Rattus norvegicus: one gene and its partner. The protein of the gene in region 1 purifies or fractionates together with the protein of each later gene. This does not show direct contact. Links are inferred from orthologs where the notes say so. Each region holds a gene or a part of one and is shown on either strand. Other genes may lie near its edges.

Evidence for each region.
Region 2: the proteins of Rara (region 1) and Pml purify together in Homo sapiens (affinity purification with western blotting; 6 studies listed by BioGRID, with this or other methods). This does not show direct contact. The link is inferred for Rattus norvegicus from reciprocal best matches to the Homo sapiens genes RARA and PML.

The regions. Positions count from the first base shown.
Region 1 is NC_086028.1:84,414,431-84,418,076, reverse strand, and holds part of Rara (retinoic acid receptor alpha), read right to left. Parts: intron 994-3,646; coding exon 845-993; intron 1-844. UniProt on the Homo sapiens protein: Receptor for retinoic acid. Retinoic acid receptors bind as heterodimers to their target response elements in response to their ligands, all-trans or 9-cis retinoic acid, and regulate gene expression in various biological processes.
Region 2 is NC_086026.1:67,537,756-67,541,401, reverse strand, and holds part of Pml (PML nuclear body scaffold), read left to right. Parts: intron 1-93; coding exon 94-674; intron 675-1,774; coding exon 1,775-1,950; intron 1,951-3,646.

The DNA of each region.
Region 1 (3,646 bases):
CCACCTAGACAAACATACTAGACAGTCACAGAAAAGCCACGCTGTCCGGGGTTCTGCAATGTAAGCTAAGCTAGCACGGAAACAGACCTGACCAGGGAGCAATGAGACAGGACAAACCAGACAGGGCCAGCACATACATACACAGTCTTACACTAACTACCCTTGACCTCTATCTTATACCTGGAGATGGCTATTCCAGTCTGAGGTTCCTTCCAGGGCCAAGAGCCCCAAGTACTGAGGAGGTATAGCTTCTAGGCCCTTATCTTTGACGGAACAAACTAGAGCAGAGGCCCTGCCATCAATCAGGTAGAGAGATGATATCCCAGCCAGGAAGGGTTAGCCACATGCGTGCCCAGAGACCAGTATAACTGAGATGGCAGGAAACCCAGTAGCCACTGGGGAGCCCGCAGCCTGGACACCTGAAGGGAGGCCAAGGCAGGGTGTCTGCTACTAGCTGTCTCTTGCAAGGAGACCACGGGTAAGCTTCAGGCAAGGCCACTGGGGGCAGGCCTCCTGGGTCCCCAGCCAAGAGCCAGGCAGCAAACGGCCAGCTCACCATGACAACCTGGGAAACAGTGGCAGGGCCAGTGTATGTATACCCCGCTGCTGGCCAGAGGATAGACACAGGGAGAACATGGCAGGAGGGAACTTCTGGTCACAGAGAGCGCTGCTCATTTATGGAGGAGGCCTTACTGCAGGCGTCTTCCTCCACGGTTGCTGAAGAAGCGAAAGTAGGCAGCCTTGGTAACGGCCCTGCTGACTGCACACCGAGGACACGAACGAATGTGGGGGTATCCCGTTTATCCAACCAAGACTGTCCTTCTCTGGGACTCCCTCCACTCACCTTACAGCCCTCACAGGCGCTAACCCCATAGTGGTAGCCGGATGACTTGTCTTGACAAACAAAGCAAGGCTTGTAGATTCGAGGCAGGGGTGGTGGTGAGGGAGGGCTGGGCACTATCTCTTCCGAACTGCTGCTCTGGGTCTCGATGGCTAGGAGAGAAGGAGGAGACTTGAGAGACCCAGGTACCCATCCCCCTGCAACCTGTCCACCTTGTCTGTGCTAATCCTGGACAGAGGTGGTCTCTGCAAACTCAGCTCTCCCCTTCCACAATTCCCCGACAGGCTGACAGGTAAATATTCAGGCCCCATTACTCCTATGTCCCCAGGATACAGCTTCAATCCCAGATCTGTGTGTGAACACATACACACACACACACACACACACACACACACACACACACACGCACACACACGCACACACACGCACACACAGAGAGAGAGAGAGAGAGAGAGAGAGAGAGAGAGAGAGAGAGAGAGAGAGAGAGAACACAGCTGTAATCGGAGAGTAAGGGACTGGCTTTTATTTCAAAACCTTAATACAAACAGCACCCTTGCCAGGGCCCCCCAAAGTTCAGAAGGAGTCAAGGCTTAATGAAGATGGACTGAAGGGCACAGACTAGAGGCAGAGGAAACTGGGGTCGACAGGATGTTCGATGCTGGCCACTCCCTGGCCCCTTTGCGTTTGCTTCCTTTCTACTTCCTCCAGCCCCTCTGACATCAGCCACGCCCCTCCCCCCATCCAACAATCCCCTGGCTAAGGTGGGGTCCAAGGCAGCACACAAGAATCACAAGAGGCTTGGGCAAAGCAGGAGGGCACTCCCTGAGATGACAGGGGGACCTCCTGAAGACAGTGAAAGAGTCCCTAGGGCTCCTAGAAGCCCATCACTTTAGATGCCCCGCGTCTATAGGGAGACACTATGACAAAGGGGGGTCTGTTTCTATCAATGGTCTGTCTGTCTGGCCTAAATACTACGTCCGGGTTACCCCCCTCCATTCCTGTTATTCAGCTCCAAGAGGGCAGCCAGGAGGGGTGACCCAACCAGCGGGGGGCAGTCCCCCCTTTCCCTCCCAAGCAAAAATCTCTGTGCCTGGCTCTAGGCCCATCACCCCAGACAGAACATGGCTATTTGGGTGAGAGCTGTCTGTGCCCAGGGCCTGGGCAGCTAAGGATACAGTGTGACAGATGTAAACTATAGAGAGAAGACTATCCCAGATCCCCAGAGGGCTCTCCGGCAGCCTCTTTTGCCACATCTATTTGCAGAGAGCCAAGGATGGGTGAGTAGCTGCTCTGCTGAGTCCCGCTGAGCTCCAGCCATTCCCAGCGAATGCTAGACGTACACAGTTCTGTGCTCAAGCATCCAACAGCATGTGTTATGTCAGGCTGTAAATGACTCCTGTGGCTGCAAAGCCCAGGCAGAGAGGTTAGGACACTTGGGGACACGGGAGCTTGGCTGCATACTACCACCGTCCTACCTGCAAACACACCGGGAACTCTGCCAATGGCCTTGGCAGGACTTTCCTGGCTCCTACTTGGGCCTGGACATCAGCCGGGCGGTCCAGCATTGCTGTAACCATGTCCCCTCTCTAACCAGAGGGAAAGGACTCATCGGTGCCTACAACCCCCCAAGGGTCCAGAGGACTGACCAGCTGCAATCTGCTGCTCATGCCTACACAGAACTGCTCTGCCCTGGTTTTTCACCTCACTTCCTTCTCAGGAGGCCTGACAAGCAAATCAAACGGGGCGGGAGGGAGGCCTGAGAACAGCTGCTGGGGGGCGGGGTTGGGGGGGCCTGGGTGAGGCCAGGAGGCAAAGGAGTGAAGTGACAAAGGAGTCCTTTGTTGTGTTAACTTTTTCCAAGACGTAAAAACAGTAACAATAGACAATCCAGACTTAGGGGGGCGTCAAGGACAAGGGGGGGTTGCCCTGGCCTCCAATCCTGGTGAGCATTCCAACAAGCACAGGAAGAAGGCATTGACCTCCTCTCTTCCCTCCCCCTAAACCACCCTCCGCCCTGGACCTGCCACCCCCCAAATCCCAACCTCCCAATCGGAGTCAAATTGGAGGGAAAGGAGGACAGAGGGGGACCAGGGTACAGGGCTGAGGGGAGTGGGGTACATGGCACATGGAATCAGGAGAATGAGGAGGAAGAGCAAAAGGCCAAGGACAGAGCAGAGGGGCAAAGGCTCAGAGAAACGTGGAGTTAAAGCCAAGTCCAGAGAGTTGTTTATAGAGATGAAAGCTGTGCTCTTTAAAAATTGTTTTTGGCAAGATGGCGGACAGACCCTAGGAGGGGGTGGGGGCTCGGTGAGGCCCCTTTTCAAACCATCGGCTGTAGCTCCGTCAGTACCCTATCCTCAAATGTCACCCCCGTAACCCCACCTCTGAGGGTTCCAGATCTAGGTTTTGAACTTAAAACCCAAGGTCCAGTCCCCCACCTCCCCAGGCCTGGAGCCAGCACCCGAGGGAATCCAGTGTCGGCACCAAGCATGAAATGTGGGTCTTCTCAGCCCCTGCAGAGTTAGAACACAGTAACAGTGTAGCTCAAGCAGGTGGGGGGAGGGACTATCCTGAGCTGGCCCCACCCCACCGGCCACCCTCCCTGGAGGCCCCAGCCCACAAATCTCTCCACTTCCTGCAGAAAGGCTGGGCTGGAGAAGGACCAGACCTCAGCTCAAAGTTTCAGTGCTCAGCCAAGGGCTGGAACCAGACCAGGAAGCCCGGCGTCCCCTCTCACCACCGCTGCCAGGGTGCCCCTCCCCCCGCTCCCCTCCTGGGCGGGCGCACACGGCGCGGGTCCCCACG
Region 2 (3,646 bases), on another chromosome or scaffold:
TGGATAGATCTGGTTCTATAACCAAATCCATAGACACTGAGCAGGGGAAAAGCATAAACCGAGAAACAGTATGTTGGTCTTATGTGTCCACAGCATCTACTGCCGAGGCTGCGCCAAGCCTCTGTGTTGTGAATGCGCGCTTCTGGACCGCAACCACAGCCATCTCCAGTGTGAAATTGGTAAGGAGATCCAGCAGCTGCATGAGGAGCTGGGCACCATGACGCAGGCTCTGGAGGAGCAGGGCAGAACCTTCGACAGTGCCCATGCACAGATGCACTCAGCCATAGGCCAGTTGGATGACGCACGCTCAGACACTGAGAAGCAGATCCGCGCACGCGTGCGCCAGGTGATAGAACACGTGCAGGCTCAGGAGCGCGAGTTGCTCGAGGCGGTGAATGTGCGCTACCAGCGCGACTACCAGGAAATAGCTGGCCAGCTGGGCCACCTGGAAGCTGTGCTGCAGCGCATCCGCACTGGTGGGGCGCTGGTCAAGAGGATGAAGCTCTACGCCTCCGAACAGGAGGTGCTGGATATGCATGGCTTTCTGCGCAAGGCACTCTGTCGCTTGCGCCAGGAGGAGCCTCAGAATCACAAAGTCCAGCTGCGCACCAGCGGCTTCGAGGAGTTCAAGTTGTGCCTGCAGGACCTCGTCTCCTTCATCACCCAGAGGACAGGTAAGAGTTGAGGCCATGCTCATAGGCAGCTGGTTTGTCATTTAAAGGACCCATGCTTCACTGTTGCACCCAGGGGCAGGCAAATTGGAAGAGATGATCTCCATTCAGTAGATGAAAGACAAGTATCAGGTCTGAGGATCCAGGGAACAGAATAAGAGGATATGCTGATCTGGTGTGGCAAGCATCTGGAGGAGACACTTTACAAACTTATAAGATTATGGAGTAGATGTGACTTTGTGAGCCTTGGGGAACAGGTGGAAACTGAGAGCTGAGAACCGGATGTGGTATCATTGCAGCCCACTCTCGGTATCAGCCTCCTATGCCCAGCAAAAAAGAAGTCAACTGGTCTGTAAGGTTAGGAGAGGAGGAAGCTCAGAAAACCTAGCTATGAGGTGTTTAGTCAGACACTGAAAGGAAGAATTCCCCTAGAACAAAGCAGTCATCTGTCAGTCTCTAGGTCCTAGAGTCTCTGTTATTGGGCTTTTATGATGTATGGGAGTGGCAGGCCAGTTCCTGACCTCAAGTGTTGTCCAACTGGGAGAGTATCCTGGGCTACATCCCATAGCTAGAGACATGCTTGGCTCTGAATCAAAATCCAGGAGCTGTGCCCTGAATGAGCGGGTGGCATCAGTGGCTTTCCAGAGACCATGAGTACACATTTACACATTCAGGGGTTTTGTTTAACTCTTTAAGCGGGGACGTTAGCTCTGAGCAGCGGTTGGGGGGTGCCCCTTTTGGTTCCCCGCAGGTTCCAAGGATAGGAGGGCTCCCTCCTGGACCACATAAGCCAGGGGCTTATAAAGATAGGGTCCTAGAATGGAGATGGACTTCTATCTTCTCCATCTAGGCAGATGCATAGATGTGCACTTGGGGTTTAGAGACAAAGGTGTCACCCAGTGCTACTGCCCACACCCCACCCCACTCCACCCTATTCCATTCTATTTAGGTTCATCCCTGCAGCAGCCAACTCCAGCCCCTCTGTGGGGGTGTACCCACGAATGAATACCCAAGGAAAGCATCAAGGACCTCCCCTCTGTCTCCGTCCCAGCTAAGAATTCCTACTAGAATGCTCTCTATGTTTTGTTTTGGTTTTCCCCCAGATGTAGCTGTAGCTGGGAGAGCCAGCCCAGAGGCAGCCAGCACTCACCCAGAGGCAGCCAGCGCTCAGCCAGAGGCAGCCAGCACTCACCCAGAGGCAGCCAGCGCTCAGCCAGAGGCAGCCAGCGCTCACCCAGAGTCAGCCAGCACTCCTGGGAACTCGACTGACCTTGAGCAGGTGAGAGGAGTTTGATGTGTGAGGAGGGGTAGGAGGGCACAGCACGCGAATGCTTGGAGGTCCTGATGTCCTGTGATGAGGGAGAGTGCCTGAGAGAGGACAGCAGGTGGCTGGGCTGGAGCTCTCAGGAGGAGAGGGTCAAGGAAGGGTTGGCTGTCTCTGGTGCAAGGTTCCTTAATGCCCGACTAGCTCTTGATGTGCCACAAGCCAGTCCAGGAGGGGTCAGACCCATGGGTGGGCAGGCAGTGAATGTAGAGTGTAAACTGCAGCCCTGTTCGACGTGACACGGGATGTATCTGAAGCTCGCACAGACTGTCTGAGCCAATTTCTGGGGCTGGCATAGATGGACCTCCACTCCCACGCACTTGGTTCTTGGACTTAGGGCTAGGAGTCAGAGCTCAAGCCCACAGATTCCAGGGCCATCATGTACCTAAAAGACTAGCTCCTCAGGGTTGGGAACACCCTTAGATAATCTCATGTTGCATTCCCTCTGCTGTATCTTTGACTCAGTGACTTTCATACGCATGCCACTGGGAGCAGGGAGTTTACCCATTCTTGAGGCGGTACCTCCTGTTCTGATTGCTCCAACTGAGACTTCTCAGGATAGAAGCGCACGGGCATTCTTTCCAACACTCGTAGGCATGGCTCTCCTGCAGCAGGATGAGCTCCTTCCTTCCTGAGCCTGGCATCCTTCCCCTCCCCAGCTTGGTCACTCTGTTGTGTGCGGCTGGATGTCAAGATGTGGGCCCAGGACCGGGTAGACCTTCTGGTGGGCAGCAAGGGTATTAAACCTTTCTAGCTTTGCCTTGGGGTAAGCCATGGAAAAGGGATTGCTGCGGGTTACAGCACTGGGAAAAGGACTTGGGGGAGGCAGGACTTTTGAGAATTTTAGAGCTATAAGAGCGTGTGGAGTCTAAAAACCTCTTTCAGGGATGTAAGACCCAAAGAGAATCGGTGGTGAGCTAGTTGGAACTTGAACTTGGGCACGCAAGCGCTCTTTTTTTCATAGGGCTTCCTCCTTTTCACCGTGGTTGTCACTTGCGGGCTGATAGGACTCAGGAAAGAAGTCCGTAGCAATGTGTGGGAGCAAAGGTCATGTGAGGCTGGAATATGGTTGCATAGCCAGTGCTGTCAGGAGAGGCAGCACCAGTTGACATAGCACTGCCCCCTCCACACACATTCACCTTACTATCCCTCTGCTTCTTCAACTCTGGTGAGTGTTGTGCTGAGGGAACAGAAGCAGAGGCACCCAGCCTTGCCTACAGGGAGTTCCCGGCCTTTTATACGCCAGCAACTGCAGAGCCATAAAGGCAAAGATAAGATGGTTAAGCTGTCTGCCTCCTGTTCTGAGGATGGAATATCCGGGCCTTGGAACGTGGGAGGCCGTGCTTTACCACTGGGCTTCCTGCCCAGCCCCACACACAGTTTGCAGTTGAACATCTAACTTCCATACTTTTGAGGTAGTACCTAGGAGTAGAATTGGTAAGCCGTGTGGTAATTCTTTCATTAAAAAAGAAGATTTATTCACTTTTATTTTATGTATATGAGTGTTTTGCTTGCATGTTAAGTGTACCATATGCATGCAATACCTGCAGAGACCAGAAGAGGGTGTCTGGTCCCCTAATCCTGGGGTAAAAGATGGTTATGAGCTGTCCTGTGGGTTCTGAGAATCGAACCCAGCTCCTTTGCAAGAGCA